Pelodiscus sinensis: one gene and its partner. The protein of the gene in region 2 interacts with the protein of the main gene of each other region in a biochemical or structural test. Links are inferred from orthologs where the notes say so. Each region holds a gene or a part of one and is shown on either strand. Other genes may lie near its edges.

Evidence for each region.
Region 1: the proteins of ANAPC11 (region 2) and UBE2C form a complex in vitro, tested with the Homo sapiens proteins (66 studies listed by BioGRID). The link is inferred for Pelodiscus sinensis from reciprocal best matches to the Homo sapiens genes ANAPC11 and UBE2C.

The regions. Positions count from the first base shown.
Region 1 is NC_134728.1:1,319-8,510, forward strand, and holds the start of UBE2C (ubiquitin-conjugating enzyme E2 C), read right to left. Parts: upstream 3,007-7,192; 5' UTR 2,964-3,006; coding exon 2,872-2,963; intron 1,678-2,871; coding exon 1,650-1,677; intron 1,245-1,649; coding exon 1,158-1,244; intron 1,030-1,157; coding exon 825-1,029; intron 535-824; coding exon 475-534; intron 218-474; coding exon 159-217; 3' UTR 1-158. Other genes in the region: DNTTIP1 (deoxynucleotidyltransferase terminal-interacting protein 1), read right to left, coding at 4,187-4,325, 4,608-4,663, 5,047-5,118, 5,573-5,633, 5,837-5,895, 6,796-6,841. UniProt on the Homo sapiens protein: Accepts ubiquitin from the E1 complex and catalyzes its covalent attachment to other proteins. In vitro catalyzes 'Lys-11'- and 'Lys-48'-linked polyubiquitination.
Region 2 is NC_134730.1:29,739,354-29,747,006, reverse strand, and holds the start of ANAPC11 (anaphase-promoting complex subunit 11), read right to left. Parts: upstream 3,007-7,653; 5' UTR 2,877-3,006; intron 2,390-2,876; exon of another isoform or gene 2,255-2,389; intron 830-2,254; 5' UTR 794-829; coding exon 685-793; intron 600-684; coding exon 454-599; 3' UTR 1-453. Other genes in the region: ALYREF (THO complex subunit 4), read left to right, coding at 3,076-3,306, 3,517-3,648. UniProt on the Homo sapiens protein: Together with the cullin protein ANAPC2, constitutes the catalytic component of the anaphase promoting complex/cyclosome (APC/C), a cell cycle-regulated E3 ubiquitin ligase that controls progression through mitosis and the G1 phase of the cell cycle.

The DNA of each region.
Region 1 (7,192 bases), on a different chromosome or scaffold from region 2:
GAGAGTTTATTTATACAGTCGCTGCGGGCCCCACCGCCAGAGTGAATGGAAAAGAGCCTATGATACAGAGTCCTGTACAGAGCAGGCAAGGACAGGTCCAGAGAGCGCAGACAGGGACGGACGGACAGACAGACAGACAGCTGCAGCTCAGGCAGGCCTCAGGTCTCCTGGCTCTTCGCCTGCTTGGCGTGGGTTTCCTGCAGGTATTTCTTGAAGGCTGGGGAGGGAGGGAGGGCAGAGCTGTGGGGAGCAGCGAACTCCAGGCCCCCGGGGCGCTCGGCCTGGGCTCTCCGCTCGGCCATTGTGGCTGCGCACGCGGCTGGCCAGAGCAGCCTTCGCAGGGCCCAGGAACTCACCCGGTCCCGGCAGGGCCAGGCTGAGCCCCCGGGGCCGTCCCTGGGGAGGGTGACGTCACCCACGCTGGTCTGAAGGCAGCTCAGCCAGCAGAGCGCGGACCGGACGGGAGACACTCACCTGCCTGGTTCTTCCAGAGTTCGGCCGCGTGCGTGTTCAGGGGGCTTTCAATGTTCGGCTCTGGCGGGTGAGAGACAGAGCGTCAGCGCGCAGCCAGGAGCCAGCTGGCTTCTTGTGCAGCATCACCCCCCCGCCACTCCACCCGCGCACCTGCCCCCCCCGCGGCTAGCTGCAGCGGCCAGTCTACCACAGCAGCGCTGAGGAGCCCAGGCGCGGAGGCCTCGCACACCCGACCGCTGGCCCTGCCCCTGAGCGCACGCGGGCAGACGGGGCGCAAGGACGCGATGCCGCCCAGCCCGCGGGCAAGGCGCAGCCAGAGCCTCGGCGCTGCGAAGCCCACGCAGCCTCACCGCCCAGCAGGCTCTGAATGGACAGCAGGATGGTCCGGACGTCGTAGAGCGCAGACCACTTGTCCTTGAGGATGTCCAGGCAGATGTTGCCCTGCGTGTCCACGTTGGGGTGGTAGCAGGGGGTGAGGAACTTGACCGTGGGGGCGTTGTAGGGGTACCCGTCGGGAAACTCCAGGGAAAGCTTGTACCTCAGGTCCTCATACACCTAGGGCAAGGCAGGTCAAAGCACGGTGAACGCAGGCCCCTGTGCGCCCCAAAGCAGAAACCCAGCCTCAGTGCCCACCCCATGGGGCTCTCGCTCGCCTGCCCCCCGCCCAACCCCCCTGGGCTCACCGTGCCAGCGGCGCCATCAATGGTTCCGATCCATCTGAAGAGATTGTCCGACTCGGGGAAGGCAGAAATCCCTTTGTCGCCAGCCATCTGAGCAGAGAGGGCGCAGGGTTACGAGCCCCGGGGGCGCTTGCACAAGGGGACAGGGGGACAGCGGCCCTCCCCCTCAGCAGGCCGGGCCCAAAGGAGCTCTGGAGCTGCAGCAGCAGACACAGCACCCCAGGGTGGGCCTGGGGCCACCTGCCATGGGCCCCGCAGCCTCAGGGTGAGACCAGCCCCCGCCAAGGTACCAGGGAGCCCCTGCTCCACCAGCCTTCTGACAGACGAGAACCCAGGCCCCCGCCCGCTCCGTGTCAGCGGCAGGGAGGGTCCGCTTGTGACCGGCTGCTCAGGTGGGGGGGGACCTCTGGGAGTCAGCTGAGCCCCCGCAGGGAGCGGGGTGGGGCGGGCCAGAACCCCCCCAGCCTGGACCAGCATCCAGCAGTGCCTGCTCACCATCAGCGTCATCAGCTCCTGCTGCAGCCTGCGGGGGAGAGTGGGCTCAGGTCAGTGGGCGTGGCCAGCAGCCCCCCAATTCACCATGCGCATGGCCAGCAGCGCCCCCTCCACTTCCCCCTCCCAGGGCGGCCCACAGTCCCTGCATCGGTCCCCTCACCCCTACGGGGCAGCCCGCAGCCCCCCCCTGGTCTCTCCCCCTCCCCCAATGACCTGCAGCCCCCCCCGGTCTCTCCCCCTCCCCGTCAGCCCCCCCCCCGGTCTCTCCCCCTCCCCCAATGACCCGCAGCCTCCCCGGTCTCTCCCCCTCCCCGTCAGCCCCCCCCCCGGTCTCTCCCCCTCCCCCAATGACCCGCAGCCCCCCCGGTCTCTCCCCCTCCCCGTCAGCCCCCCCGGTCTCTCCCCCTCCCCGTCAGCCCCCCCGGTCTCTCCCCCTCCCCCAATGACCCGCAGCCTCCCCGGTCTCTCCCCCTCCCCGTCAGCCCCCCCCCGGTCTCTCCCCCTCCCCCAATGACCCGCAGCCCCCCCGGTCTCTCCCCCTCCCCGTCAGCCCCCCCGGTCTCTCCCCCTCCCCGTCAGCCCCCCCGGTCTCTCCCCCTCCCCGTCAGCCCCCCCCGGTCTCTCCCCCTCCCCCAATGACCTGCAGCCCCCCCCCTGGTCTCTCCCCCTCCCCGTCAGCCCCCCCCCGGTCTCTCCCCCTCCCCCAATGACCCGCAGCCTCCCCGGTCTCTCCCCCTCCCCGTCAGCCCCCCCCGGTCTGTCCCCCTCCCCCAATGACCCGAAGCCCCCCCCGGTCTCTCCCCCTCCCCGTCAGCCCCCCCCGTCTCTCCCCCTCCCCCAATGACCCGCAGCCCCCCGGGTCTCGCCCCCCTCCAATGACCCGCGGCCCCCCCCCCGGGTCTCGCCCCCCCCATGACCCGCGGCCCCCCCCCGGGTCTCGCCCCCCTCCAATGACCCGCGGCCCCCCCCCGGGTCTCGCCCCCCCCCCAATGACCCGCGCCCCCCCCGGGTCTCGCCCCCCCCAATGACCCGCGGCCCCCCCCATGACCCGCGCCCCCCCGGGTCTCGCCCCCCCCAATGACCCGCGCCCCCCCCGGGTCTCGCCCCCCCCCCAATGACCCGCGGCCCCCCCCGGGTCTCGCCCCCCCCATGACCCGCGCCCCCCCGGGTCTCGCCCCCCCCAATGACCCGCGCCCCCCCCGGGTCTCGCCCCCCCGGTCACCTCCTGCCCACGGGCCCGCGCGTGGCGGCGCTGCCGGGCTCGGGCCCCTTGCGGGCGGGGGGCCGGGCGGGATCCGCGTTCTGCGAGGCCATGGCGGAGCCGCTGCCCCTCCCGCGCCCGCGCCGCGTTTGAATGTTTCAAACCTCCGGGCGCTCGGCCAATCAGCGGCCCCCTCCGCTCCGCGCCGGCCAATCGCGGCTCGCCGGAGACGCATCGCCCTGGCAACCGGCCTGCGGCTCGATCGGCCCCCGGACTGGCCCGACGGCCCGTCAATTACCGGGCTGGGCGGCGAGTGGGCACGCAACAGCCAATCGGCCGGAGGGGCGGGGCCGGGCCTTTAAAGGGCCAGGAACCAGCAGCGCCGGCGACTCTTGCAGCCACGTGCCCCCCCCCCCCCGTGTCTTGAAGTGTAAGGGGGGGGGGGGGGGAGAGGAGACACGGCTGCGGGCGCAGGGACTCGTGAGACACGCGCGTGTGCAAGGGCGTGACACTCCTGCAGGCACCAGCGGGCGTGTTACACGTGGGCGTGCACGGCAGGACGAGAGCTCGCTCGCCAGTGCCCCTGCTCTCTGCCGGGTGTCTGCGAGGGGACCCCGGAGCCGGGGCGCTGACCCCCCCCCCCCAGGGGCGCCGACCCCTTGTCCCCCCCCCAGGGGCGCCGACCCCTTGTCCCCCCCCCCCCCCCCCCAGGAACTAGGTCAGGCAGGATGCGCCGGCCGCAGGCGGTTTGAAATCCCAAGCAGGAAGCAGGGCGGCGCTTTCACGCTGAGGGAGGGCAGCAGCCCGGCTGGAATAGGGCAGGCCTGGAATTCTACTACAGAAACTTTGCCCCAAGGAGGCAGGAGCAGCTCCTGGGGCCTCTTGCCCAGCTCCCAGAAGTGTGTGTGTGGGGGGGTCTCACTTCCTCATTAGCTCCATGTAAGCAACAGGTCCATACACCCTTTTTCCCGGACAGCGACCCCCCCCCAGTAAATGCCTTTGCATAGACACAGCAGGTGTATTTATTACAAATCAGTTTGTACAGGGAGAGGATCCAAAACAGGAAGTTCACACAAGCGAAAGCTCAGCTCTGATGAGAAGCAGGAAACCGCCAGTGACTCTGCTTTCTGTGCCAGCCACCACCAATTAGGGGACTGGCCCCAACAGCTCCCAGGAGGTTCAATTACAGCTGCTACCCTGCTTTCCCCTGGGGGCAGCTTGCTGGTACCCAGGCCACTGAAACCACAGCCCCTCTGCCTTGTGAAACACAGGAAAATGAGGACGCTCCTGCGCCAGTCCATGCCGTGACACCGTGTGGGAGGGAGGGCGAGGCTTCTTATGTTTCATGAGTTCCCTCTGGAGGCTGCGGGTCCCCTTCCCGGCGAAGCGTCTCCATGTACTTCTGCATCTTTTCAGTCATCCATGCAGGCGGGATAAAAGGTTTTAGTTCCTCCAGCTTCAAGTCAACAGAGTCCCTGGCGAGCAAGCGGGAGACAGGAGTGACCGTGGGGGGAGGGACAGACAGTTCAGCCCCACGCCCTGGGAGAACCCCAACGTTCAGGAGAGCTCAGCAGCCTGTGTGTGCCCATGATGCCGCATCCCAGTGGCGAGTGTGGGCACAAGGCCAGCGGGCAGAGCACAGTCCTCGGCAGGGTCGCTTGGCTGCCTGGCCCCCTCCCCTCCGCTCCCCAGCTGTTGGTTTGGTAAGAAAAGAGGGCAAGAGGTCAGCACCGCTAAGTCTTGGCTCCTCGCCTCACCTGTAATCGTCACTGGCAGCCAGGTCCTGAATATCCTCCTCTAGGAGGAGGTAAGCCTGCAGCAAGGGCAAACGAGAGATGGTTGGAGCCGTTCCACTGGGCTACTCAGACAGATCTGCTGGCACCAGCTCTCTACATAGCACCCGCCCCCCACACCTCTTAAGAGACTGGGCCTGCTGTGAGCAGCACTGCTCCCGCCACTCCAGGGGAAGTGGGCTCTCCGCATTCGCTCGCACAGCCACCACGGCACAACGGACGCCTGCCCGGGCTGGAGCCCCAGGAGACGAGGCGCAGAGAGCAGCCTCACAGATGGCGCTGGGACGCGCCCGTCAGCTCACTGGGGACCCTGGAATCCCTGGCTTCTGCTGATTTGTACCCTTCGATTCTGAGCTGGCTTCCGATTCTCTCCCCGTCCCCACCCAGGTCGGGCCACACTCACCATCTTGCCCCCCGTGGCCCGCATGTGCTGCTGTTCTGCCAGCCAATGCTTGTCCTGTGGATCGGCCGCATACTGCAACAGAGCAGCCAGGTCAGAGCCCCACAGTGCCCTCCGTAGCCCCACCACGGGCCAACGCCCGTGAGAGACACAGGGCCAGGGCCAGGCCTTTGGGGAAACCTGGGCAACCCCATGCCTCCCAGGAAGAGAGCTGCCTACGAACAAGGACTTGGCCCCCTCTTGCTTACGCCTCAAAGCAAAGCCTCCCGTGCCAGGCAAATACACCAGACTGCTGCTGTGTGATGCCAGCTCTGGTGTGAGCTGCCACCCACAACGAGCTGGAGTCCCTGCCCCAGGGGGCAGCCAGCAACGCGGGGAGGGCAGAACGTACGAGCGCAAACACACACCTCCCCCACCCAGAGCACGTCTGGAGCAGTCCCCCTCCCCCACCGCAGCATGTCCCGAGCAACAGCTCCCCCCCCCCCCGAGCAAACCCCAAAGGAGGAAGTGGTGCGCTGCCATTACTGACCTTAAAGAGGTGGGGGTGCTTGATGTAGAGTCGCCCTCTGGTCCCGCCCATCCCAAGAGCCCTGAAACAGGAACATGGGGGGGGGGGTAGGGTTAGGCCTGTGCAGCAGGGCAGCTCAGCTGGGGGATACGGAGGCTTCCTCCCCCCCAGAGCCGTGTCCCGCCTGCTCTGCTCCGGCACAGAGAGATGTGACTCGGGAGGGAGCAGCCCCCCGCCCCCAGACCCACGGGGCACAGAGCCCGCCCCCCGCCGAAGCCTCCTTACTTGTTTGCTCGGGATCCCAGCACAAAAGTCGTGGACTCAGTCAGTCGGGATGGATCCCACTACAGTGCCATTGGGAAAGGGGCAGAGATTAGAAACCCAACAGATCCCGCACCTGCTCTGGGAGCCTGAGATTTCTGGAGGAAACTCCAGCAGGGGCCCCACTGGTTTGGGGGGTAGGGGGGTCTGACTAGCTGCAGGCTCAAGGGTTCCATGGAGGGAAAATACAGCTCTACCTATCGACCAGGCTGGGCGGTTCTCTGGCCCTCCCAGCAGAACGCGCTGCCCTGGGACAGCTCAGTCAGGAGGGGGCCAGATGCTGCACTGGGGACTGCTCGCAGGCTGTGGGCATGGGCACAGCAAACAAAGGCCTCTGCCCAGCCCCACACTCTCCCCCTATGGGCGATGACCTCTATCCTAGCCCCCCTTAGTCTCCTAAGCCCCAGTCTTTTGAATCTCTCTCCATACGGGACCCGTGGCAAACCCCTTGTCACTTTGTTGCCCTTTTCCAGTGCCAAGAGATCTTCTCTGAGATGAGGTGACCACGTCTGGACGCAGGATTCCAGATGTGGGCAGCCCCTGGTTTTATACAGAGGCAATAAGATATTCTCTGTCTTATTCTATCATTTTTGAAGGACTCCTCACATTCTATGTGCTCGTTTGCTCGTTTGCTCGCTGCTGCGAGGATGTTCCCAGAGAACTGTCCGGAGGCTCCAGGATCTCTCCTGAGCAGCTGTAGCTACATGGCTCCCCACCCTTGCTATGCCTACTTTGCCAATGTCATCTGCCATTGGGGCCCAATCACTTCGCCTGCCGAGATCTTTGTGCAGCTCCTCAGGCGGTTTTGGCCTCTGGCCCTGTGGGTGGCAGGACGATCACAGCAGAGGCAAAGGGAGAAGCGGGGCTCCACAGAGCTCTGCTGAGCCAAGCCCAGGGCCAAGCCTGCCGGCTGCACACCGTACCTTCGGCCCCTCCCGCCGCACTGGCTCACAGGACTTGAGCTTCCATCTGTTGGAGAAAAACCCAATAGCACCGAATTCCCAGGGGCTTGTGCTGAGAGGCTGGAGTTTGAATCAACCCTGGCTCAGACCCTGTGGGGCGGGAGCTGCCAGCCTTCGATTTTACTAAGCTAGGCTGCCTACAGCCTAACGCGATCCTGCTCTCCCCAGAGAGGCCGGTCACGCCTGCCCACTTCTCTGAGGCTGGCATCTCCATCGCCCCATGAGACTCACAGCCCCTGCGCTCTGCCTGCAGCCTAACCCTGCCAACACAGCCACGCGGACGTCAGCCCCTCCAAGCCCGGCCTTCCGGAGGAAAAGCTGCGATGGCCTTGCCCCCAGAACTGCACGTGTGGGCCAG
Region 2 (7,653 bases):
AGGACAAGCCGTGTCTTAACAATCAGGTCCAGGGTGTTTTAAATAAGGCACCCAAACCACAGATCCATGTCTGCATGGCAAAAGGGGCTTTTTACTGACACACACACACATGCTGCGTAGACTCAAGTGTATGAACTCATGTGGGATGCTCAGTCTCAGATCAGGATGAAACAATTAATGCTGAAAGCTGTGACAGCGTGTTGAACCGGCATCTCTGCGGGAAAGGTTAATATGCACCACTCAGATGCTCCCTCTGCCCCAGGCTTCCCTCTTGCCTATGGTGAGTCATAACAGTCTGTGGGCAAGGTTCCTCTGGAAGGGATAGGGAAATGCAAGAAGCTGTATAAATAATTCACTGTTCCAGGGTCTGGAGAGAGGAGACTAAATCCCAAGAAAACACGTTAGCAATAGCGTGTGAAATCCAAGTAGATCTGCTGGCTGGGGGAGGGGCTGTCACTCCTTGAACTTCCACTCCTGCCGGCACATGGGACAGTGCTGCTGGACCTGCTGGGAATTCAGCCACTTGAGAATGCAGTGCATGTGGAAGCAGTGGGAGCACTGGCCCCACACCAGTGGGCAGTCGTCTCCAGGCACCTTACCTGTAAAAGGACAAAACTCATGAGAGAGCGAGAAGGGCGCCCCGGGGTGAAATCCGGCCGGGGGCCAAGGGCCTGGGCTACTCACAGTCTGGGCAGCAGCCATTGAAGGCCATCCGGCAGATGCCACAGTTCTCATCATTGGCCACCCAGAGCCAAGAGGCTACCCCATTCCAGCTCTTTATCTTCACCTTCATCCTGCCGGCTTCTGCCTCCGGGGGTCAAGTCAGCACCTGGCATGAGAAGCAGCTACTCAGACTGAGTTTTATCATTAACCCTTTAGAACATCAGAGCGGCCAGACTGGGTCCATCCAATCCAGCATCCTGTCTTCACTGACAGGAGCCAATGCCAGGTGCTCCAGAGGGAATTGACAGAGCAGGGAATCATCATGTGGTCCCTCCTGTCGCCCATTCCCAGCTTCTGGCAGAGGCCAGGGACACCAGCCCTGCCCATCTTGTCTCTTAGCCACTGATGGACCCTAACCTCCATGAATTTATCTAGCTCTTTTTTGACCCTGTTAAAAGTCTTGGTCTTTACAACATCCTCTGGCAAGGAGTTCCACGAGTTGACTGTGGCTACGTCTATCCTGCGCAAGAAAATATGCAAATGAGGCAAAGCGGTGAATATCGCTATGCCTCATTTGCATACTTAATAAGCCACCATTTTTGCGCAAAAGCCATTCTTCCTGAAAAAAGAGCTGCGCAAAATGGCGGCTCATTAAGTGTGCAAATGAGGTGCAGCGATGTTCACCGCTTTGCCTCATTTGCATATTTTCTTGCACAAGACAGCACAGCATAGACGTAGCTGTTCTTGCGCAAGAATCCACAGAGCATACACACTGCCCGCCCGCTCTTGCGCAAGGAAATTTACAGTACAGCGTGGTAAGAGAGGGCTTCTTGCGCAAGAGCTACGCTCCTTTTTAACAGGTGTAAGCCCTCTGCACAGGAGCTCTTGCGCAAGAGGTCAGCGTGGACACTTGGCAGGGATTTCTTGTGCAAGAAAGCCCTATGTTTAAAATGGCCATCAGAGCTTTCTTGCGCAAGAGAGCGTCCACACTGCCAGGGATGCTCTTGCGCAAAAGCACAGCGCGCACATGGCAGTGTGGACGTGTTCTTGTGCAAGACTTCTTGTACAAGAAACCTTGCGCAAGATATTCTTGCGCAAGAAGCCTCCAGTGTAGACATAGCCTGTGTGTTTTGTGAAGAAAAACTTCCTTTGGCTTGTTGTAAACCTGCTGCCTATTAACTTCATTGAGTGACCCCCTAGTTGTGTTAAGAGGAGTAAATCATAGGTTGGTTCCCCTGCTGAAACAGCTTATATCCCCAGGGGCCATGCAATCTCCTTTGGCTGTCAGCACTGCTTCCTCCCCTGCGGCAGTTCAAAGTGGGATGTAGATGGGACTGTCCCTTCCTCCATAGCTCAGTCATTACTATAGAAACTCTGCCATAGGGAGCCTCTCATCTGAAATCTTCTAGGTTGGGCTTAGTGACCCTGCCTCATCACTGGGCACATCAGGAACCGTAGGTGCCCTTGTGTTTCCGGGCATGGAATGAAAATGGATCGCGACTCCTATTAGCATTCGGCACTTGATTACTGCAGACCAGGGCTGAGGCCGGACGGCTTCCCTGCTCCCCACGGGAAAGGTACTGGCACACACCTAACGCACCGCAGCCCCGAGAGCGCCACACGACCCGGAACGCAACACTGCACAGCTGCTGGGCGCACTGCACAAAGCCCCCCCCTTCAGGATCTCTATGGGGCTCCACGATCTCTGTCTGCTTCACCACCCTGAGAGAGTTCTGCCCACTCCCCTCTCTTTGCAGTCCGGGAGCCCCCCCCGCCCCTAGGGAACGCTCCCAGATCTCTGCCCCACCCCTAGGATTTCTTCCACCCCTACAGAGCCACCCCACCCTAGGGAGTCCCCCTGAGATTTCTCCCGCCCCTAAGGAGCCCCCTCCCGGAACTCTCCAGCCCCCCCTGCCCTAGGGAGTCCCCCTGAGATTTCTCCTGCTCCCCCTGCCCCCCAGGAAGCCCCCCCGATCTGCCCAGCCCCCACTAGGGAGCCCCCCCGATCTGCCCAGCCCCCACTAGGGAGCCCCCCCGATCTGTCCAGCCCCCCCGATCTGCCCAGCCCCCACTAGGGAGCCCCCCCGATCTGCCCAGCCCCCACTAGGGAGCCCCCCCGATCTGTCCAGCCCCCCTTCCAATAGGGAGCCCCCCCCGGATCTGTCCGGGCCAGGCCCCCGCCCCCCGGCACGTGCTCCGGCAGCTCCGCTCACACTCTCTGGCTGGGCCGGCGGGAATCTCTAGGGCCGCGTACCGGAAGTCCCGCCCCCGGCACCCCGCTGTCACGGCCTCGGCCCAACGGAGAGGCGTGTTAGGCGGCTGCGCCCTTCTTGGCGCCCGGGCCCGCCCCTTCCGCTTCCGGCGTCGGCGCAGCGCGGCCGGAAGTGCAGGCCCCGGAGCGGAGCCGCCATCATGGCCGACAAGATGGACATGTCGCTGGACGATATCATCAAGCTGAACCGCAGCCAGCGGGGCGCTCGCGCCGGGGGCGGCCGCGGGGGCCGGGGGCGCGGGGGCGCCGGCCGCGGAGGCGGGCCCGGCCGGGGCAGCGCCGGCGCGGGCCGAGCAGGAGGCGGCCCCGTGCGGAACAGGCCGGTCATGACCCGGGGAGGCGGCAGGAATCGGCCCGCGCCCTACAGCCGGGTACGGAGCGGGGCTGGCCCGCGGGCCGGATTGCGGCGCGCGGGGGCCGGGGCCGGCCCGGGGGCCGGCGGGGCTGGGGGCCGGGCCCGCGGGAGGCCCTTTGTTCTCGCCCAGCCGCAGCGGGCAGGGGGCGAGGAGCCGCGAGCCCCAGCGCAGTGGCGGGGGCCCGGCCGCGGGGCTTGGTCGCTGAGGGGATTTGTTCTGTTTCAGCCAAAGCAGCTCCCCGAGAAGTGGCAGCACGACCTGTTCGATAGCGGCTTCGGGGCTGGGGCTGGCGTGGAAACCGGGGGGAAGCTCCTGGTTTCTAATCTGGACTTCGGTGTGTCGGATGCAGATATCCAGGTAAGAAAGTGCCCCCCCCCCACGTCGGAAAAGCACCAGAGGTGACGCTTTGCGGTAGTTGGCATGTGCCTCTTTTCATCAATACTGTGTTTTCTGAGCTCTACGAACCCTTCCTCATGGATGGATACTGTGATCTCCAAGGCAGTTCACTTTGTATTATTATTATTATTGCAGCCAGCACTTCTGATTTGACTCTTTTGGTACTATCTGATGTGACTGGAGTGCAAAAAAAAGTTGTTTAGCTTTTCTCTAGTTTGTTGTATAATGAATGGCTGAGCAAAAGTGCATGTGTGGAAAGCTGTGATGTTTGGATCTGAAAATGTAATGTAACTTGTCCAAAATCTGAAACATGCAGATCCCAATAAATGCATTAATAGAATGCTTTACAGGGTTGCTTTGTTTAATTCTCTCTACTGTTAAGATCTTGCTTTTTGTCACACACATACACTGTCTCTTTTTCACATCCACTTTTCTTCCTCCAACCTGTCTTTTTTTCCAGTTCAGAACTCTTATGTTAGGCAAAACTTGTATTGGGTTGTGAGATCTCTAGTCAACTGAGGTGGGGACATGCTTTTAGGGAACTAGCGCAAAAAGCATATGGGTTACGTACTCTTCTACTATAGCATCTGTAACTATCATCATATTGTAAAGGAGCTAAGATCTCTCAGCTGAAATGTAGTAGCCCTTGTGTTTGCTCTACTTATCTTCTTTGAGACATGTCGAAAGTCTCTTAGGCTAGTAACCACTGACCATTGACAAATATATCCTAAAGTATTTTGAGTTAGCTTAATACAACTAAAGTGCAGGCTCACAGGCTTGAAGAATAGCCTCCCGCTAGTCACCTGGGTGCTGAGTCTCAAACGTAGGCCACTAACTTTCAATTGACTTTCATGGAAATTAGGAACAGAAATACCTATGATAATCTGGGTCCTAGTTGTCAAAGTGCTATCAGATGTGCCAATCCAGGTCTTAGGAGACTTAAGAGGTCTTTTCCAACACATTGTGCAAGTTAGAGGCCTTCAGGTTGGCAGGTCCTGATGAAATACATCCTTGAATACTGAAGGAGCTGTCTGAAGAGATCTGAGCCATGAACGATTACCTTTGAGAACTCAGGGAGGATGGGAGAGATCTTGGAGGACTGGCAAAGGGCACATATAGCACCTAACTCTTAAAAGGAGAATAAGGACAATCCAGGGAATAAACAATTTGCTTAATTTGGGAACCCAGAAAGATAATGAAGCAAGTATTCCATCAGTTTGTGAGCACCTAGATGATCATAAAGTGGTAAGTAATAAGCAACATGCATTTGTCAAACAAATTTCAAATCAACCTAATAATTAATAAGCCTTGTGGATAGGGCTGAATAGTGGGGTGATATATCTCGATTGTAATAAGACTTTTGATACTTTCTCACATGACCTGTTATAAGCAAACTAGAACTGTAGCCTCGATGAACCGACCTAAAAGGTGGTTGCGTAATTGGTTGGAAAACCACACTTCGAGAATAGTTAGGAATGGATCACGGCCAAGCTGGAAATTGATTGAAATGGAGTCCCTCAGGGATCAGTTTTGGGTCTGGTTCTATTCAGTATCGTCGTAAATTAATTGGATAGTGGCATAGAGCAGGGGTTTTCAGACACTGGGTCGCGGCTTGTAAGGGCAAATGACTAACTGGCCGTGAGATGCTTTGTTCACGTGCACCTTCGCAGCTCCCATTGGCTGATCTGTGGCCAATGGGAGCTGTAATTGACGGTAAACAGGATTAGAACACAAAATGGTCTCAACAAACCAGAGAAATGGTCTGAAATAAATAGGAGGAACTTTAACAAGGACCAATCTAAAGTATCACACTTAGGAGTGAATAATCAGTTGCACAAATAAAAAATGGGAAATGACTACCTAGGATGGACTACAATAGGGGAAAAAAATCTTGGGGTTATAGTGGATCACAAACTAAATACGAGCCAATGGTGTAATACTATTGCAAAAAAAGCAAACATCACTTGGGGATGATGTAGTAGGAGTGTTGCAAGCAAGACATGAGAGGTAATTTTTCCACATAGCACTGAGCCTCAGTTGCAGTATTGTTTCCAGTTCTGGGCACCACCCTTGGAAAAAAAATTGGAATTTTTGTTTTGTATAATGGAAGACAGGGGAGTGGAGGATAATAACAGTGTTCAAATGTGTAAAAAGTTTGTTGTAAAAAGGAGTGTGGTGTGTTCTGCTCCTCCCCTGAGGATAGGACAAGTAATGGACTTAAATTGCGGCAGGAGAGATTTAGGTTAGGCATTAGAAATCATTTTGTAACTGTAAGGGAAGTTAAGCACAGGAGCAGCTTACCCAAGGTAGGTTGTGGAATCTCCATCATTGAAAGTTTTTAAGAACAGGTTAGACAAACACCTGTCAGAGATTGTCAGATAATGGTCCTGCTTCAGCGCAGGGTTCTGAACTAAGTGACCTCTAGAGGTCTGTTTCAGGCTTACGCTTTGTTTTTCTGTTAAGCTAACTTGATTGAATTAACATAATTGAACACCACATCTTTTGTACTCAAGGCAGGACTGTGGAACTTTTTTATGAAACACCAAAATTAAATGAGTAACTTTATTTCAAATCAGTCCATCTGCACAGAATGCTTATTGTGGGATTGTTTAAATGGGAAATACTGTGATTGTGCACAGAGAAACATAGGAACCTCTGGTTTTAGGGAATATGCTTCCCAAGTCACAGGCTGAGCATTCAGGCTACATTCATTTGAAAACATCTGAGCTGCCCAAAGGAACTTGGTCTGGGTTGAGGTAGTGCTTTTTCTATTAAATGTAGCGTCAGCTTCAAACTGAAGCCTGTGCATTTGCTGCTGCATACATGTTTTGTATGGTAACAGCTGTGAAGAAAATATACTTATAAAATGAGGTTTAAGTGATTTGTCACCAGATCCTGGAATCATTGTGGATAATTCTCTGAAAACATCCACTCAGTGTGCGGCAGAGGTCCAAAAAAGTGAACAGAGTGTTAGAGATCATTAAGAGGGATAGACAAGAAGACAGAAAATATAATATTGCAACTATATAAATCCATGATATGCCGACATTTTGAATATTGAGTGCACTTATGGTCATCCCATCTCAAAAAAGTTATATTGGAATTGGAAAATTTTCAGAAAAAGGAAAGGAATATAATTAGCAGTCTGGAACAGCTGCCCTATGAGGAAAGATTAATAAGATTGAGACTTTTCAGCTTGGAAATGAAACAACTAAGGGCTGATATGCAGAAACCTTCAGATCTGTGGATTTATGCGGGTATTCGCATTTGTGGATATGGAGGTGGAGATCTGCAGCTCTTTTTTGCAAATGGAGATACAAACATTATATCTAGAACCCTGCATATTTACAGAAATCCACTTTATATCTACGGGTATCCACATCCCTGGCTGCAAATGCCGACTAGTGATGTAAAGGGTTAACCTGTTACATGCCCCTTGCTGGCATAAATACCAGAGTAACCAGTTAACTGGCAGGGGACTGCTCTGGCCCAGCAGCTCAGCTGGAGCAGCCCCCTCACCCATGTACCACCATAATGGGGGGCTGTTCCAGCCTGTCTGGGCCCATTGCATTGGGGGGAGAGATGCTCGAGCCCAGCCTGGCTGGAGCAGTCCCCCATCATAGAATCACATTATGCTTAACCGGTCATTAGCTTTTAACCAGGATTTTACATCCCTAATGTGGATATGAATTTTGCATCCCTGCTGGATTGTTGTGATAGAAGTCTATAAAATCATGACTGGCATGGAGAAAGCAAATAAGGAAGTGTTATTTACACCTCACAGCACAAGATCTGGAGGTCACTCAAGGAAATAAATAGGCAAGAGAAGTAAGTATTTTTTCACACAACACATAGTCACCCTGTGGAACTCTTTGCCAGAGAATGTCATGAAAGCCAAGGTTATAACGGGGTTCAAAAAAGAACTAGATAAACTCATGGAGGTTAGGTCATAGAATCATCGAGCTG